2 linked regions of the Anolis sagrei genome follow. The main gene of each other region encodes a partner of the protein of the gene in region 2 in a complex. Links are inferred from orthologs where the notes say so. Each region holds a gene or a part of one and is shown on either strand. Other genes may lie near its edges. The genes, in order: PHF12 and SIN3B.

Region 1 (9,805 bases), on a different chromosome or scaffold from region 2:
GAAAGGGAAAGAGGGATGGATGGAGGGAACAAGAAGGGGATCCTCTTTGAGTTGATAAAGTGGAGAATTAATTAATTAATAATAATAATAATAATAATAATAATAATAATAATGGAGGGAAGGCAGGAAGAGGGAGCGATAGTTGAAATTGAGCTTGGAAGAGAGGAGGAGGGAATGGAGGATGAGAAAAGAAGGGAAGAGGAAGGAGGGGGAAGGGAAATGAAAAGGGAGACATATTTGAAAATGTGTTGGAGAGAGAAGAGAGGAGTGGGAAAGGAGGAAAAGAAGAGAAGGGAAAGGATGGATGGATGGATGAAGGGAAGGTAGGAAGAGCAGGAGATGGGCAAAATGGAGCTTAGAAAAGTGGAGAGGGGGAATGGAGGAAGAGAAAAAGAAGGGAAGGAAAAGGAAGGGGTGAAAAAGGAAGAGATGAAAGGAAGGGAGGGGAGTGATAAAGGGAAGGTAGGATGAGGGGACATGGGTGAAAAGGCATTGGGGAGTGAAGAGAGGAGGAGAGGGGGAAGGGAGGAAAAGAAGAGAAGGGAAAGGATGGATGCATGGATGGATGAAGAGAAGGTAGGAAATGGAGGAAGTGAAAAGAAGGGAGAGGATGGGGCGAAGAGAGGGTAGGAAGAAAGGAGAGATAATAATAACAACAGCTATATTCTTCTATCCTGCCACCGTGTCCCCAAAGGGACTTGAGCGAAATGGAGCTTGGAAGAGTGAAGACGAGGAATGAAGAGAAAGAAGGTAGGAAGAGGGAGATGGGTGAAACAGAGTTTGGAAGAAAGGAGAGGGGGAAAGGAGGAAAAGCAGGGAAAGGAAAGGAAGGGAAAGAGAAGAGGAGAGGGAGTACGGAACAGAGGAAGAAAAGAAGAGAAAGAAAGGGGGTGGATTGAAGGATGGATGAAGGGAAGGAAGAGGGGGAGATGGGCAAAATTGAGCTTGGAAGAGCGGAGAAAGTGAAAAGAAGAGAAGAGAAAGGAAGGGGTGAAGGAAGGGTAGGAAGAGGGAGCGATGATAATAAGAATAATAACAAGTATATTGTTATATCCTGCAATCATCTCCCCAAAGGGACTAGGGTGAAATGGATCTTGGAAGAGTGGAGAGCAGGAGTGGAGGAAGGGAAGGGAAAGGAAGAGAAAGGAGGGAGAAGGGAAGGGAAGGTAGGATCTGGGTGAAAAGGTGTTGGGGAGAAAATGGAGAGAATAGAGGAAAAGAGCGGAAGGCGAAGGATGGATGGATGAAGCGAAAGGGGGGTCCCCTTTGAGTTGATAAAGTGGTGTGTAAACAAGCATAATACTACCACTACTACCTCTATTATTATTATTATTATTATTATTATTATTAATAATAATAATAATAATAATAATATTGAAGGGAATGGAGGAAGAGGGAGATATGGGCGAAATGGATCTTGGAAGAGTGGAAAGGTGGAAGGGAGGAAGAGAAAAGAAGGGATGAGAAAGGAAAGGAAAGGGAAGGTAGGATGAGGGGGATCTGGGTGAAAAGTTGTTGGGGAGAGAAAGGGGGGAATGGAGGAAAAGAAGGGAAAGATGGCTGGATGAAGGGAATGGGAAGGGGTCCCCTTTGGGTTGATAAAGTGGTGTGTAAACAAATATAATAACAACAATCATAATAAGTTTGTTTACACACCACTTTAACAACATTGAAGGGAAGAGGGGGAGAGGGGCAAAATGGAGCTTGGAAGAGAGGAGAAGGTAATGGAGGAACGGAAGAGAAGGAGAGGGGTGGATGGAGGGAGTGGGAAGGGGGGGGGTTCCTTTGTGGTGTGTAAATAAACACAATAATAATATTGAAGGGAAGGGGACAAAAGGGAGAGAGGGGGGAAATGGAGCTTGGAAGAGAGGAGAGGGGGAAGGGAGAAAGAGAAGAGAAGGAGAGGGATAGATGGAGGGAGTGGGAAGGGGGGTTCCCCTTTGAGGTGTGTAAATAAATACAATAATAATATTGAGGGGAAGGAGGGAAGAGGGGGGAACAGAGCTTGTAAGAGTGGAGAATGGGAAGGGAGGAAGAGGAGGGGGGGTCCCCTTTGAGGTGTGTAAATAAATACAATAATAATATTGGAAGGAAGGGGAGAAGAGGTTGAGACAGGCAAAATGGAGCTTGGAAGAGAAGGAGAGGGGAATGGAGGAAGAGAAGGAGAGGGAAGGGGGGTCCCCTTTGTGGTGTGTAAATAAACACAATAATAATCTTGAGGAAGGGGGGGAAGGGAGCTTGGAAGAGAGGAGAGGGGAATGGAGGAAGAGAAGAAAAAGAGAGGGATGGATTGATGGAGTGAGTGGGATGGGGGAGTTGATAAAGTGGGTTGATAAAGTTGATAAAGTGAGTTGATAAAGTGGGGTGTAATAATAATAATATATTTGCTTACACACCACTTTAATGATATTGAGGGGAAGTGAGGAAGAGGAGAGGGATGGATGGATGGATGGAGTGGGAAAGGGGGTCCCCTTTGAGGTATGTAAATAAACACAATAATAATATTGAGGGGAAGGGGGAAGAAGGAGCAAGGGGCAAAATGGAGCTTGGAAGAGAGAGGGAGGGAGGGATTGGGAAGGGGGGTTGCCTTTGAGGTGTGTATATAAATACAATAATAATCTTGAGGGAGGGGGGAAGGAAGCTTGGAAGAGTGGAGAGTGGGAAGGGAGGAAGAGAAGAGAAAGAGAGAGGGATGGATGAAGGGAGTGGGAAGGGGGTCCTCTTTGAGGCGTGTAAATAAACACAATAATAACCTTGAGGGAGGGGGGAAGGGAGCTTGGAAGAGAGGAAGAGAGGAGAGTGGGAAGGGAGAAAGAGAAGAGAAGGAGAGGGATAGATGGAGGGAGTGGGGAGGGGGGTTCCCCTTTGAGATGTGTAAATAAACACAATAATAATATTGAGGGGAAGGGGGAAGAAGGAGCAAGGGGCAAAATGGAGCTTGGAAGAGAGGAGAGGGGAATGGAGGAAAGAGAGGGAGGGAGGGAGGGAGGGAATGGGAAGGGGGGGGGTTCCCCTTTGAGGTGTGTAAATAAACAAAATAATAATAATAATGGAAGGGGAGAAGAGGGAGAGAGGGGCAACATGGAGCCTGGAAGAGAAGAGAAGGGATAGATGGATGGAGTGGGATGGGTCCCCTTTGAGGTGTGCAAATAAATACAACAGTAATATTGAAGGGAAGAGGGAGAGAGGGGGGGGAAATGGAGCTTGGAAGAGAGGAGAGGGAGGGAGTGGGAAGGGGGGGGTTCCCCTTTGAGGTGTGTAAATACAATAATAATATTGAAGGGTAGGGAGGAAGAGGGAGGGAATGGAGCTTGGAAGAGAAGGAGAGGGGTGGATGGATGGAGGGGGTGGGAAGGGGGACCCCTTTGAGGTGTGTAAATAAACACAATAATAATATTGGAAGGAAGGTGAGAAGAGGAAGAGGGGGGGGGATGGAGCTTGGAAGAGAGGAGAGGGAGGGAGTGGGAAGGGTAAGAGAGGAGAGGGGAATGAAGAGAAGGAGTGGGAAGGGGGGTCCCCTTTGAGGTATGTAAATACAATAATAATCTTGAGGGGGGGAGCTTGGAAGAGAGGAAAGTGGGAAGGGAGAAAGAGGAGAGAAGGAGGGATAGATGGAGGGAGTGGGAAGGGGGTCCCCTTTGAGGTGTGTAAATAAATACAATAATATTAAAAGGAAGGGGAGAAGAGGACAGGGAAGGGGGGGTTCCCCTTTGAGGCGTGTAAATAAACACAATAATAATCTTGAGGGGGGGGGAGGGAGCTTGGAGAGGGGGAAGGGAAGAGGAGGGTAGAGGGGAGGGGACTGACCAGCACTGGAGGTGGAAGGCGGCGGGGCAGTGGTCGCAGCAGAGCAGGTCCCCGCCTTCCTTGCAGCTGTCGCAGCTGTCGTGGTTGGTGGCCCTCCCGCTCCTCCTCTGGGCCGAGGCAGCGGCGGAGGCGGAGGAGGAGGAGTGGTGGTGCTGGGGGTGGTGATGGTGATGCTGCTGGTGGTGGTGGTGCTGGGGGTGGTGATGGTGGGGCTCCCCGCCTCCTCCTCGCTCTGTCCTGCGGCTCCTCTTCTCGGTCCCGAGCAAGGCGGCGTCGTCGCTGCGGGGAGGCGCCAGGAGGGCCTGGATTTGCTGAGGGAGAAAGAGGGAGAGAGAGAAGGTGAGGGGAGAGAAGGGAGAAAGAAGGGGGGTAGGGTTCCCCTCACTCCCTGACTGCCTCCCTGACTGACCCACCTCCATGAGGCCCCCCGAAGTGTCGAGGTCGTAGACGACCGTCTTGGCCTCCATCCTCTCCCACATCCGAGGCCTAGCTGAGGGGCGACGCCTCCTCCTCCTTCGCCGCCTTCGCCTCCTTCTTCTCCGCCCGCCGACTAGGCCTCGTCCCGGCCATGACAGGGGGCGGCGACGCCCGGGCTCCCTCTTTCTCCTCCTCCTCTCCCGCCGGGCCTGAGGGGATCACTCTCCACTCTTCACCGCCGTCGCCTCCCCCTCACACACAGGGCCCCGCCGCCGCCGCCGTCACAGCCCTCGCCGCGCAGGCGCACTTCGCCTTCCCGACACAGCGCATGCGCGTAGCACAGGGCGGCCACCGCGCAGGCGCCGACTAGCCCAAGCCACCCGCTTCGTTCGTTGTGACGGGGAAAGGAGGGAGGGCTGCGAGAGGAAACAGCGCATGCGCCGTTTCCTCCCTTTCCGCCCCGCCTCTCTTTCTTCTTCTTCTTCTCCTCATCCCCGCCCCTCCCCTTCTTTGCGCTCGAGACGCACTGGCCTCCCTCTCTGCGCAGGCGCAGGGCCGCCCGCTTTTTTCGACGCATGCGCTGTTGCCCGCTCGCTCATTTGACATCTTTGAAATAAGAATTTTTCTGCGTGTGTGTGTCTATCTATCTTCCTATCTAATCTATCTATCTATCTATCTATCTAATCTATCTATCTAATTTATCTAATCTAATCTATCTAATCTATCTATCTAATCTATCTATCAATCAATCTATCTAATCTATCTAATTTATCTATATCTATCTAATCTATCTATCTAATCTATCTATCAATCTATCTAATCTATCTAATCTATTTATCTAGAGATAGACATATATATATATATGCAAAAACACACACATTTCTATACATTGATATGTATAGATGTGTGTACACAATATATGTGTATGCTATATCTGTATACTATGTGTATACTATATATAATAATATACTATAATAATAATATACTATATGTGTGTATATAGTATATTATATATAGTATAGTATATATGCGTGGGCTGGTCCATGAGGTCACGAAGAATCGGAGACGACTGAACGAATGAACAACAAATATGTGTGTATACTATATGTATGTGTACTATATGTGTACATACTATATGTGTACTATATGTGCTTTGAGTCCCCTACGGAGTGAGAAAGGGGAGTAGAAATGTAATAAACAAATAAATATATACTATATGTGTATACTATATGTGTTTATACTATATATGTTTATACTATATGTGTGTGTGCTATATGTGTGTACTATATATGTGTGGATACTATATGTACTATATATGTGCGTGTACTGTGTATACATATGTGTGCGTACTATATTTGTGTATACTATGTGTACTATATGTGTATACTATATCATATATATGTGTATATTATATATGTTTATACTATATGTGTGTGTACTATGTATGTGTGGATACTACATGTGTATACTATATCGTATATATGTGTATATTATATATGTTTATACTATATGTGTGTGTACTATGTATGTGTGGATACTACATGTGTATACTATATCGTATATATGTGTGTATACTATATGCGTATACTATATTGTACATATGTGTATACTATATATGCTTATACTATGTGTGTGTACTATATGTATGTACTATATATGTGTGTATACTATATGCGTATACTATATTGTATATATGTGCATATGTGTGTATAGTATATATGTTTACACTATATGTGTGTGTACTATGTATGTGTGGATACTACATGTGTATACTATATTGTACATATGTGGATACTATATGTGCTTATACTATGTGTGTGTACTATGTATGTGTGGATACTATATGTGTATACTATATTGTACATATGTGGATACTATATGTGCTTATACTATGTGTGTGTACTATGTGGGTGTACTATATATGTGTGTATACTATGTGTGTATAGTATATTGTATATATATGCATATGTATGCATACTATATATGTTTACACTATATGTGTGCGTACTATATGTGTGCATATTATATATTTGTATATTATATGTGTATACTATATGTACTATATGTGTGTATGTTTGTGTACTGTGTGCTTACTAAATGTGTGTGTATATACATGTGTGTTACTATATGTGTGTATACATGTGTGTGTACTATGTGTGTATACTATGTGTACTATATGTGTATACTATCTAGTATATATGTATGTATATATGCATATACTGTTTGTGTGTATATACAATATACAATATACTTGAAGGAGCTGGGGGTGGTGACGGCCAACAGGGAGCTCTGGCGTGGACTGGTCCATGAGGTCATATATTTTATTTTATTATTCCAAATAATTATATAATATTATATATTTATTATGATTCAAAATAATTACAATACATATTAATTTTTAATTACATGCTATTTTATTATTAAAATACGGCTGAACGAATGAACAACAAATATATACACATCTGTATTTAATAATATGAGGTCTATATCTAGTTTTTATCTCTTTATTCTTCCTTTAATATATGTAAAATATGAATATATACATGTGTGTGTGTGTGTGTGTGTGTACAAATGTAGTTTCCCGCCCTTTCCCCACTCTCTCCTTTCAGGGTCCCTTCTGCGCATGCGCGTTCTACCCCTCCGCGCGTTGCTAGTGCGCACGCGCGCAGCTGGACTGTTTCTTCTTCCCCTCCCTTCGCAAAGAATGGGCTTCTTTGCCGTTCGCGCGTGCGCAGAAAGCTCCCCCGCCGGGGCGCAGACAGCGCACGCGCAGGAAAAAAAAAATATAACTGAGCGGGCTAATGGGTCGAGGGGAACGGCAATTGTGTTCGCGATGGATGCTTCCGGTTCTGTTCACACCTCTGCGAGATCTATATAGTAATAAACACTAATAATGATATAAAATAATAGAATAATAGAATAGAATAATAATAGAATAGAATAATAATAATAGCATTAATGCTAAATTGCCAAAATATTATATAATCATATACAATAATAAAATAAAAATAAAAATAAAATAATAATATAATAAATGAATAATAGTAAATTGTAAAACAAATTATGTAATATAATTATATAGAATAATAATAATAAAGTAATATATAATATAACATGTAAATTAATACGTAATATAATGTAATAATAATAGTAATAGCATTAATGCTAAATTGCCAAAATATTATATAATCATATAGAATAATAAAATAATAATACAAATAAAATAATAATATAATAAATGAATAATAGTAAATTGTAAAACAAATTATGTAATATAATTATATAGAATAATAATAATAAAGTAATATATAATATAACATGTAAATTAATACGTAATATATTGTAATAATAATAATAGCATTAATGCTAAATTGCCAAAATATTATATAATCATATAGAATAATAAAATAATAATAAAAAATAAAATAATAATATAATAATATAATTATTATAGTAAATTGTAAAAAGAATTATGTAATATAATTACATAGAATAATAATAAATATATAATATAACATGTAAATTAATACGTAATATAATGTAATTATACAGATTAATAATAAAATGGAATAATATAGAATAAAAATAAGTTAATATATAATATAATTATATGAATAATAATAAATTAATAAAAATATATCATTTTGAATAATAATAAAATAATATAAACTATATCATATAATTATATAGAATAAATTAATATGTAGCAATTATTTAGGATAACAATAAAATAATATAAAATATATAATGTAATTATATAGAACAATAATATAAAATATAATCCCATAGAATAATAATAAATTAATATAAAATGTTATATAATTATTTAGGATAACCATAAAATAATATAAAAATAATATAATTATATAGAATAATAATATAAAATATAATCCCATTGAATAATAATAAATTAATATTAAATGTTATATAATTAAGTAGGATATCAATAAAATAATATAAAATATAATTATATAGAAAATTAATATAAAATATAATCCCATAGAATAACAATAAATTAATATAAAATTTTATATAATTATTTAGGATAACAATAAAATAATATACAATATAATTATATAGAATAATAATATAATGTATATTTCCATAGGAAAAAAATAAATTAATATTAAATATCATATAATTATTTAGGATAACAATAATAAAAAGATATAAAATAATATAATATAAAATAAAATATATAATATAATATAAAATATATAATATAATTATATAGAAAAATAATATAAAATGTAATCCCGTAGAATAATAATAAATTAATATAAAATGTTATATAATTATTTAGGATAACAATAACATAATGTAAAATATTATATAATATAATGTATATTTCCATAGAATAATAATAAATTAATACAAAATATCATATAATTATTTAGGATAACAATAATAAAATGATATAAAATAATATAAAATATATAATATAATATAAAAATATAATATAATTATATAGAAAAATAATATAAAATAATGATACATTAATATTAAATATCAATAAAATAATTAATAAAATATCAATAAAATAATATAAAATATAATTATATAGAATAATAATATAAAATATAATATAAAATAATCTCATAGAATAATAAAAAAATATTATTAAATATTATATAATTATTTAGGATAACAGTAAAATAATGTAAAATATTATATAATATAATGTATATTTCCATAGAATAAGAATAAATTAATACAAAACATCATATAATTATTTAGGATAACAATAATAAAATGATATAAAATAATATAAAATATATAATATAATATAAAAATATAATATAATTATATAGAAAAATAATATAAAATAATGATACATTAATATTAAATATCAATAAAATAATTAATAAAATATTAATAAAATAATATAAAATATAATTATATAGAATAATAATATAAAATATAATATAAAATAATCTCATAGAATAATAATAAATTAATATTAAATATTATATAATTATTTAGGATAACAATAAAATAATGTAAAATATTATATAATATAATGTATATTTCCATAGAATAATAATACATTAATACAAAATATCATATAATTGTTTAGGATAACAATAATAAAATGATATAATATAATATAATATATATTATATTATATGTAATATATAATATAATTATATAGAAAAATAATATAAAATATAATCCCATAGAATAATAATAAATTAATATAAAATGTTATATAATTATTTAGGATAACAATAATAAAATGATATAAAATAATATAACATAAAATATATAATATAATATAAAATATATAATATAATTATATAGCATAATAATATAACGTATACGTCCATAGAACAATAATAAATTAATATAAAATATTATATAATTAAGTACGATAACAATAAAATAATATAAAATATAATATAATGTAATTATATAGAATAATAAAACAATATAAATAAAATATTAGAATATAATAGTAACAGCCATAAAATAATATAAAATGTAATCCCATAGAATAATAATAAATTAATATAAAATGTTATATAAATATTTAGGATAATAATAAAAAATATAAAATATCATACAGTGTAATTATATAGAA
Region 2 (10,784 bases):
GAAAGTTCTGGGGATCATTTTTTTCCATGTCGGGAGCAACTTGAGAAACTGCAAGTCACTTCTCTTGTGAGAGAACTGGCTGTCTGCAAGGACGTTGTCCAGGGTTACGCCCGGATGTTTTGATGTTTTATCATCCTTGTGAGAGGCTTCTCTCATGTCCCCACACGGAGAGCTAGAGCTGACAGAGGGAGCTCATCTGCACTCTCCCCGGATTTGAACCTCCGAGTTCTGTGGGTTGTGTGTCATAAAGACAGGCAGGTATCCAATGTGGTTGCTGGGGTTGCTTTTTTTTGGGGGGGGGGGGGGAATTGTTTCTGTATGAACTTTTAAAAATCCCCAAAAGTCTGTATATCTATGAATCTTTCTGAAAGTTCTGGGGATCTTTTTCCAATGTCAGGAACAACTTGAGAAACTGCAAGTCACCTCTGGTGTGAGAGAATTGGCTATCTGCAAGGATGTTGTCCAGGGTTACACCCGGGTGTTTTGATGTTTTACCATCCTTGTGGGAGGCTTATCTCATGTCCCCGCATGGGGAGCTGGAGCTGACAGAGGGAGCTCATCTGCACTCTCCCCGGATTTGAACCTCCAACCTGTCGGTCTTCAGTTCTGTTGGCACAATGGTTAAACCCATTGTACCACCGGGGGCTCCTGTTCTAGGGATTGATGCCCTGGTTATCTTGTGCATTGTATAAAAAATCCAAGTAGATAGCTCTTGTAGTTTTTTTTAAGTGCTGTTTATAAAATCTTTTTAAAATTCCCCAAAAATCTGTGGATTAGTGAAATATTCTGAAATTTGGTAGGCTAACTGGGGTAAGCAGGTTCTACCATTGTAGCAAGTTTCACTCCAATAGCTTTCAAAATGAGGAAGAAACGAGCTCCTGGAGTTTCCCCAATTATAGTATTTATACCATTTTTAATAGATCGCACATCCCTACTATAGATATAGACTAGACCTGGGCAAACTTGGGCCCTTTCTCCCTCCAGGTGTTTTGTACTTCAACTTCCACAATTCCTAACAGCCTCAGTCCCTTTCCTTTCTTACCTTTGCGCTTAAGTGGCTGAGGGGGGAAAGGAAGGGGCCTGAGGCTCTGAGGAATGGTGGGAGTTGGAGCCCAAAACACCTGGAGAGAAGGAGGGAGGGCCCAAGTTTGCCCAGGCCTGATATAAATGGACATGATATAAGTGCTAGATCAGCATTTCTCAACCTGGAGGTCGGGACCCCTACGGGGGGGGGGGGGGGTCGCGAGGGGGTTTCCAGAGGGGTTGCCAAAGACAACCAGAAAACATATATTTCCAATGGTCTTAGGATCCCCTTTGGCAGAGAAAGCAGAAGATTTTTCACCTGTCCTTCTCTTCCTTTTTGGAAACAGACAGCGAATCCCCCTACCAAAAGCTCTCCTCTGCTGTGATTCGCCAGCCTCTCAGCCAAGGGGAGGGCTGTTTCTGAGACTCCAAGCCGGGAGAGGGGAGAGCAGGCGTGCTCGGCACATGGCAGTGTGGTGTGAATGTGCGGGTGAGGGAGAGCATGCGAGCCTGGAGGGAGGCTCACGCCAGCGAGTCCCTTCAAAACATGGGGGTTCTGTGTGCCAAGATTGGCCAAATTCTATCATTGGTGGGGTTCAAAATGCTCTTTCACTGTAGGTGAACTCTAAATCCCAGCAACTACAATGGCCAAATGGCAAGGTCTATTTTCCGCAAACTCCTCCACATCTGGGCATATTGAGTATCCATGCCAAGTTTGATCCAGATCCATCACTGTTTGAGTCCACAATGCTCTCTGGATGGAGGCAAACTACAACTCCAAAACTCAAGGTCAATGCCCACCAAACCCTTCTAGTATTTTCTGTGGGTCATGGGAGTTCTGTGTGTCAAGTCTGGTTTAATTTCATCGTTGGTGGGGTTCAGAATACTCTTTGACTGTAGGTGAACTATAAATCCCAGCAACGACAACTCCCAAATGAAAAAATCAATCCTCTCCCACCCCACTAGTATTCAAATTTGGGTATATTGGATATTTGTGCCAAATTTGGTCCAGTGAATGAAAATACATCCTGCATATCAGATATTTACATGACGATTCATAACAATAGCAAAATGAGAGTTATGAAGTAGCAACGAAAATATGTTTATGGTTGGGGTTCACCACAACATGAGGAACTATATTCAGGGGTCGTGGCATTAGAAAGGCTGAGATAGATAGATAGATAGATAGATAGATATAGATAGATGGTCTGATAGATAAATATAGATAGATAGTCAGACAGATAGATATAGATAAATTGATGGTCTGATAGATAGTCAGATAGATAGATATAGATAGATAATCAGATAGACTGACAGATATAGATAAATTGATGATCTGATAGATCAGTGGTTCTCAACCTGGGGTCCCCAGATGTTTTTGGCCTTTAATTCCCAGAAATCCTAACAGCTGGTAAACTGGCTAGGATTTCTGGGAGTTGTAGGCCAAAAACATCTGGGGACCCCAGGTTGAGAACCACTGTGATAGATAGTCAGATAGATAGATAGATAGATAGATAGAGATAGATGGTCTGATAGATAGATAGTCAGATAGATAGATAGATAGATAGATATAGATAGTCAGATAGACGGATAGATATAGATAAATTGATGGTCTGATAGATAGATTGTCAGATAGATAGATAGATAGATAGATAGATAGATATAGATAAATTGATGGTCTGATAGATAGTCAGATATATATATATATATATATATATATATATATATATATATTGATGGTCTGATAGATAGATATAGATAGATGGTCTGATAGATAGATAGATAGATAGATAGATAGATAGATAGATATAGATAGATAGATAGATTGATGGTCTGATAGTCAGGTAGATAGATATAGATACTCAGATAGACGGATAGATATAGATAGATTGATGGTCTGATAGTCAGATAGATAAATGTAGATTTATTTATTTATTTATTTATTAGGCTTGTATACCGCCACCCCCAATTTGGCTCGGAGTGGTTTATAGCAGTAGATTAAAACAATACAACCAACCTCAAAATACAATAAAAACGAGAACAGACACAGTCCCGAGTTATTCACCCATTGAAAGCTTGTCGGAAAAGAAAGGTTTTACAGGCTTTCCGAAAAGCAAGTAGCTCTCGGATGGTTCGGGTTTCAACTGGCAAGGCCTTCCATAAATAAGGGGCCACAATCGAGAAGGGTCTCTGCCTAGCAGAGGACAGATGGTAAGTCCGGATGTTGGGGACTTCAAGCAAATTTTGGTCTTCGGACTGATGATGGTCTGATAGATAGATTGTCAGATAGATAGATAGATAGATAGAGATAGATCGATAGAGATAGATAGATAAGTCTGATAGATAGTATCTATGTATCTGATAGTATCTATGGTCTGATAGTCAGATAGGTATTTTTTTGTCAGATAGATAGATCGATAGAGATAGATAGATCGATATAGATAGATAGAGATAGATATAGTCTGATAGATAGTATCTATGTATCTGATAGTATCTATGGTCTGATAGTCAGATAGATTTTTTTTGTCAGATAGATAGATCGATAGAGATAGATAGATCGATATAGAGATAGATATAGTCTGATAGATAGTATCTATGTATCTGATAGTATCTATGGTCTGATAGATAGTCAGATAGATTTTTTTTTGTCAGATAGATAGGAGATAGATAGATCGATATAGAGATAGATATAGTCTGATAGATAGTATCTATGTATCTGATAGTATCTATGGTCTGATAGATAGTCAGATAGATTTTTTTTTTGTCAGATAGATAGATCGATAGAGATAGATAGATCGATATAGAGATAGATATAGTCTGATAGATAGTATCTATGTATCTGATAGTATCTATGGTCTGATAGATAGTCAGATAGATTTTTTTTTTGTCAGATAGATAGATCGATAGAGATAGATAGATAGAGATATAGTCTGATAGATAGTATCTATGGCCTGATAGTCAGATAGATTTTTTTTTGTCAGATAGATCAATATAGATAGATAGATAGATATAGTGATAGATAGTATCTGTGTATCTGATAGTATCTATGGTCTGATAGATAGTCAGATAATTTTTTTTTGTCGTGTCAGGAGCGACCTGAGAAACTGCAAGTCGCTTCTGGCGTGAGAGAATTGACTGTCTGCAAGGACGTTGCCCAGGGGATGATTTTGATGTTTTTATCATCCTTGTGGAAGGCTTCTCTCCTGTCCCCGCATGGGGAGCTGGAGCTGACAGAGGGAGCTCATCCGCCTCTCCCCGGATTCGAACCTGCGACCTGTCGGTCTTCAGTCAAATAGATAGATAGATAGATAGATAGAGATAGATGGTCTGAAAGATGGATTGATAGATAGATAGAGATAGAGATATATGTTCCATACATTCATTCTACCCAGTTTATTGGGCGTTTTGCAACCCCCCCAAAAGGGGGGCAAAAGGGGGAGAGGGGGTTAAAGGACCCCCTCCCCAATATTCGAGGATTGGGAGGGGCTTTTCTTCCCAACCCCCAACTTCTCCTCTCCCTCTCCTCCCCCCCTTCCCCCCCTCATCTTACTTACGTGGACAGGAAGCTTCTCCCCGGTGGGCCCCCCGTTTGCTGCTGTGGCTGCCCGGCCCCCCAAGCGCGGACCCGCTCGGCCGCCGCCCCCCGCCGCCATGTCCCTCGCTCCCTCCCTCCTTCCCTCCCTCCTTCCTTCCTTCTTTCCTTCCTCCGCCTTTTGCGTCACCGCGCTCGGGGAGGTGGGGCCAAAGCGGAACCTTCGCGCTTCGGGAAGAAGCACCCGCCCGGAAGGGAAAAAGGAACCGGACCGGAAGAGGGTACAGCGCAGAAAGAGCGGCCAAACAAATAGGCGCGCGGCTGAGGGGGGGGGGGGGGGGCATAGAGTTGCGGCGCAGAGCGGCCAAAGGAAGGGACCAGGAAGTGAAGGACACCGCTCTTCTCTCGAGCGAGGGAAAGACTTGACGTTTGTGATGAAATGCAGGATCAGGAGACCCAACCCTACTTTACTTGCTCCATCCATGTTCAACATCTACACAAATGGCCAGCCACTGCCAGAAGGGACAGAGAGTTTCATCTATGCTGATGATCGTGCCATCACCGCTCAAGCAGGGAGCTTTGAGATGGCAGAACAGAAGCTTTCCGAAGCTCTTACTGCCTATTACAGGGAAAACCAGCTGGACTACTGCAATGCGCTCTACGTGAGGCTGCCCTTGAAGACAGCTCGGAAGTTGCAACTGGTGCAACGATCAGCAGCAAGGATGTTAACGGGAGCCCCTTACAGAGAGAGGTCAACCCTCCTGTTCAATTTATTTATTTACTTTGCTTGTATACCGCAGTTTCTCAGCCCGTAGGCGACTCAACGCGGTTCACAACAAGAGCAAAAGACAATCCAACAACATACAATATTAAAACTATTAACAGTATAAAATATAAACTAATGACATCTCAATAACAACACATTAACGTCTCGTAACTAAAATCGTGATCCAATTCGTCATCCATAATTCCGTTTCCTATATTCATCGTGTTCATTGCACTATTTATCCGAACGCCTGTTCAAACAGCCAGGTTTTTAGTTTTCTTCAAAACACCATTAGCGAAGGGGCTGATCTAATGTCCATGGGAAGGGCGTTCCACAGCCGAGGGGCCACCACAGAGAAGGCCCTGTCCCTCGTCCCCGCCAGCCTTGCTTGTGATGCAGGCGGGATCAAGAGCAGGGCCTCCCCAGAAGATCTTAGTGTCCTGGTGGGTTCATAGGCAGAGATACGTTCGGATAGGTAACTTGGGCCAGAACCGTTTAGGGCTTTATAGGCCAACGCCAGCACTTTGAATTGAGCCCGGTTCAAGGAGCTCCACTGGCTATATTCCGAGCTCAATTTAAGGTGCAGGTGCTTACCTACAAAGCCCTGAACGGTTTGGGACCAGCTTACCTGCGTGACCACATTTCCATCTACGAACCCACACGCTCACTTCGGTCATCTGGAGAGGCCCTGCTCATGATCCCACCTGCGTCGCAAGCGCGCTTGGTGGGGATGCGGGACAGGGCCTTTTCCGTGGTGGCCCTCAGACTCTGGGTCCTCCCCAAAGACCTTAGACAGGCCCCCACACTGGCAGTCTTCAGAAAGAACTTGAAGACTTGGCTTTTCCGATGCACCTTCCCAGATTAGGAAATCTCCACTACCAAGTCCCATAAGCACCTTATCAGAACCAATGACTGCTGCACATCACACTTGCCCTAGAAGACTCATATACACCACCTGTCACATCAGCACTTTTAATTCTTGTACCCATTACTTTGGCCTGGCCCAGTTTTTATTGTGTTTTAGTGTATTGCTTTTGCCTGTTGTTTATCTGCTTTATCCTGTTTTTAATTGTTTGATTTGCCTAGTTTGTATTGCTATGTTGTGTGTTGAGGCCTCGGCCTGTGTAAGCCACATCGAATCCTTCGGGATTAGCGGGGTACAAATAAAGTTTAATAATAATAATAATAATAATAATAATAATAATCCCCAACCCATCTAAAACACAGACATGTGCTTTTCATCTCAAGAACAGAGAAGCATCCCGAGCTCTGAGGATCACCTGGGAAGGAATCCCACTGGAGCATTGCAGCGCACCCAAATACCTGGGAGTCACTCTGGACAGTGCTCTTACCTACAAAAAGCACTGCCTGAATATCAAGCAAAAAGTGGGTGCTAGAAACAATATCATACGAAAGCTGACTGGCACAACCTGGGGATCACAACCAGATACAGTGAAGACATCTGCCCTTGCGTTGTGCTACTCTGCTGCTGAGTACGCATGCCCAGTGTGGAACACATCTCACCACACTAAAACAGTGGATGTGGCTCTTAATGAGACATGCCGCATTATCACGGGGTGCCTGCGCCCTACACCACTGGAGAAATTACACTGCTTAGCTGGTATTGCGCCACCTGACATTTGCCGGGAAGTAGCAGCCAATAGTGAAAGGACCAAGGTAGTGACATCTCCAGCTCATCCCTTGTTTGGGTATCAGCCAGCACGTCAACGACTTAAATCTAGAAATAGTTTTCTAAGATCTACAGAGACGCTCGCTGGAACACCTCAGCAAGCGGGAGTCCAAAAGTGGCAGGCTCAAACCCAGAACCTCAAGCAATGGCTGATACCAAATGAGAGACCCCCCCCCTGGGCACAAAGAAGACTGGGCGATTTGGAAGGCACTGAACAGACTGCGCTCTGGCACCACGAGATGCAGAGCCAACCTTCAGAAATGGGGCTACAAAGTGGAATCCTCGACATGCAAGTGTGGAGAAGAGCAAACTACAGACCACTTGCTGCAATGCAACCTGAGCCCTGCCACATGCACAATGGAGGACCTTCTTGCGGCAACACCAGAAGCACTCCAAGTGGCCAGATACTGGTCAAAGGACATTTAATCAACTACCAAACTCACATATTTTGTATTTTGTCTGTTTGTTTGCTTTGTTCTGTTAGAAATGTAATATAATCGACTGGTTGCCCTGACACTACAAATAAATACTGAGAAAGGCCGACACAAGCCGTATACAAGGCCGCCATCTAGTGTCTCATTGCAGAAAAGCAGGCCCTTTATTCACTCCCTATTAAAAGATGCCCTCTAATGGCTATGTGGCAGCTATTTCACCTCTGCCCACTGAAAGCCAAAACCAAGGTCACAACATCTGTTATAGAACTCCAATATGCCGATGATAACGTAGTCTGTGCGCATTCAGAAGAAAACCTACATGCCTCTCTAAATACCTTTGCAGAAGCATATGGGAAGCTCAGGCTCTCACTGAACACTGAGAAAACCAAAGTGATCTTCCAGCAAAAGGCACCGACCAATCCCTCTGCAATGCCAGAAATACAGCTTAATGGTGCAACATTCTTCAACTTATTTAGGAATATTGGGCTTCTTCGTCTTGCCAGATTTCTTCAGCCTTCTTTGTCCACCAGATGTTCTTGACTTCTCTTGTCCTTTGGACCTCAGCTTTTGCACTGGCATAGATCTTTTTCTTAGCAACAGAGTTGACATCTCTCTGCCATATTTTTAGCATAGTACAATATCAGTATTATATATTACTATACCATTATATTATACCTGAGGTCGTCAAACAGATGAAAGTGGAGCCAAGGTTCGGATCATGAGAAATGAAATTTATTCAGAAGAGACACCGACACAACGAGCTACAAGGGTTATGGTCAATTATGAGGTTGTTTGTGAACCGTTGCCAAACCTGACCTCGAACCCATAGACTTATAATGGGACAGAAGCAACATTGGGGTTGGGCTAAACCTGCCTTCAAAGAAACCAGCATTAAGGCAGTTGTTTGCAAAACATGGCATGGACTTCACAAAGAGAGAAAGCCATTGCTTTGGGGGGAAACGAAACACAATAACACGCAAACCTGGGATGAAATGGCAACCTGGGATTGGCTCGAACGAAGAAGAGGCACCAACATGGATCTCTCTCTCTCTCCCTCCCCATCTATAGAGGAGAAGGAGCTAATACTCAGGCTAATACTTGCAAGGCTCCGGCCTCCTTCCCGGGCAACAGCTACTCCTAAGACGGACAACACTGAACGGGGCTTTTCCCCAGACCTCCAAGCACCAAACGCACTCCGGAATGGGACTTATTTTTGGCCACATGCTACTGCGTCCGTAGCTGGTAATCTAGACAAAAAAGACAAAACGGATGAGTGAGCAAAGCTAGACCCTCCTGAAGGAAACGTGAAAATAATAATAATAATAATAATAATAATAATAATAATAAATCATTCTAATTATATTATATTATTATATAATAAAAATTACAAGATATGTTCCACTGTGCTTTTGATTAGACGATTTCCCCAGAAAAATGCTGGCTCCCAGTTATGACCCCAATTTACAGTCCCTGCACTTTACTACTGCCCCCCACTTAGAGATATAGTGTTCCACCTTATATTACCCATTACCACCATTTTTGGTTATCTGAGATAAAACACATAAAGCTGTTCAACAGTGGAACTCTCTGCCTCAGAATCCAGTGGAAGCTCCTTCCCTGGAGGCTTTGAAACAGAGGCTGGATGGCCATCTGTCGGAAGGGATTTGATTGTGCTTTTCCTTTTTTCTGTTGTCAACGCACCTCCGTTCTGCGTGATGTATCGCACCCACGGCAAGGCCTGGTAGCCGCTCTTCTCGATGATCTTCAAGTAGCGGACCTAAGGAGAGAAGGAGATATATTGCAACCCCAAGTGCTTCAGAAAAGAATAGAATAATAACAGTATATAATAACTTATTATTATTATTAACCTTATTTGTACCCCGCTAGCATCTCCCGAAGGACTTGATGCGGCTTACAAAGACCAAAGGCCTCAATAAAACAACAATATAACAAATACACATAAATCATAAAGCAAATCGAAACATTAAAGCAGTAACAGTACAATAATAAAACAATACACAGTAACCCAATAAAACTAGGGCTGGGCCAAATGTAATGGGTACAGATTAAAAAGTGCTGGGTATGACAGGTGGAATATAGGGATTTAGGGTAAGTGCAAAGTGCAGACAATCTTAAATCTCTATTAAAGTGCTTCTGGGACATGATTGCTGGGATTCCTATTCTGGAAAGGCACACCGGAATAGCCAAGTCTTCAAGCTCTTCCTGAAAACTGCCAATGTAGGGGCTTGTCTGATGTCCTTGGGAAGGGTATTCCAGAGTCGGGGGGCTACCACAGAGAAGGCCCTGTCCCTCGTCACCACCAACTGCGCTTGTGACGCAGGTGGGATCGTGAGCAGGGCCTCTCCAGATGAACGAAGGGACCGTGTGGGTTTGTAGACGGAGATGTGGTCGGAGAACTTTACTGTCATTGTACGTCATGCAATTGCATGTAGAACTGCAAAAACAAAGCACCCATCCTTCCACATTCTCATAACTATTTCACAACCCTGTAAAGTCATACCAGTATGAAAGCCTTAGAGTTCAATATAGAATCAAAGCTCTCTCTCGGCCAATCTGTCCTTGTTTTTAATCACCCTATCTTATCTGCCAGATGCTAATAATTCAAAAAAAAGAAGAATATCCAAGGTGAAATGGATCCTTAAGGATATTCTGAGCTTTCTCAAAGCAGCAGGGATTATTATACGAGGGGTATTTTTTAAGTAAGGTCCGTTTTGTTGTAGACACTAGTAGTTTGCGCGCATACCGCAACGAGCGTGTGTGTCGTGTACCGGCATGCCTCGGGAACAACTGTGCTCAGTTTCCGCTCTGTAGCTAACCTGTACAGTTCTGTTCTGTGCTTTAAACATGTTTAAGACTATCAACTCACCCTCCGCATGTGAGGTTCGCTCAGTGATACAGTTTTTGTCAGCAAGGAACCTGCCTGCTGCAGAAATTCATCGACAGATTTGTGAAGTGTACAGTGATGATACTGTTATGAGTGAAAGCAAAGTGCGCAAGTGGGTATGACAATTCAAAGATGGCCGTGACAACGTCCATGATGAGGACCGCTCTGGTCGCCCTTCTTTGATTACAGTGAACTCTTGGTTATCAGAGCAGGCGGCAAGTTTTTATGAAGAGGGTATTTTAAAATTGGTTCAGAGGTATGATAAGTGTTTGAACAAACTTGGCAACTATGTCGAAAAATAGAGTGAAGTATGTACTTTCTGAAAATAAATTTACTTTTTTGAAATAAACTTTTGTTGTGTACTTATGTTCAAACAGACCTTACTGAAAAAATACCCCTCGTAGATAGTCAAAATCTGGCTCTGGAAGCAGGCT

The links.
Region 1: the proteins of SIN3B (region 2) and PHF12 are in contact, whole or in part, in a cryo-EM structure (PDB 8BPA), measured with the Homo sapiens proteins. The link is inferred for Anolis sagrei from reciprocal best matches to the Homo sapiens genes SIN3B and PHF12. Residues at the interface, in NP_056075.1 of Homo sapiens: Glu307, Phe311, Leu318, Glu322, Val323, Tyr324, Glu325, Asn326, Leu328, Arg329, Cys330, Ile331, Leu333, Phe334, Asn335, Glu343, Leu347, Pro350, Phe351, Lys354, Phe365, Lys395, Arg396, Glu490, Glu493, Leu494, Val497, Tyr545, Arg546, Ile547; in NP_001028733.1 of Homo sapiens: Leu20, Met21, Gln23, Ile24, Gln25, Leu27, Leu28, Pro30, Pro31, Lys32, Thr33, Asn264, Leu266, Val267, Leu269, Val271, Val273, Phe275, Thr276, Asn278, Arg279, Ser280, Arg282, Cys292, Pro293, Leu294, Pro316, Asn317, His318, Ile319.

What each region holds. Positions count from the first base shown.
Region 1 is NC_090031.1:34,606,274-34,616,078, reverse strand, and holds the start of PHF12 (PHD finger protein 12), read right to left. Parts: upstream 4,560-9,805; 5' UTR 4,287-4,559; coding exon 4,221-4,286; intron 4,119-4,220; coding exon 3,808-4,118; intron 1-3,807.
Region 2 is NC_090034.1:59,380,766-59,391,549, forward strand, and holds the start of SIN3B (paired amphipathic helix protein Sin3b), read right to left. Parts: upstream 4,692-10,784; 5' UTR 4,677-4,691; coding exon 4,578-4,676; intron 1-4,577. Other genes in the region: AP1M1 (AP-1 complex subunit mu-1), read right to left, coding at 8,670-8,692, 9,147-9,222.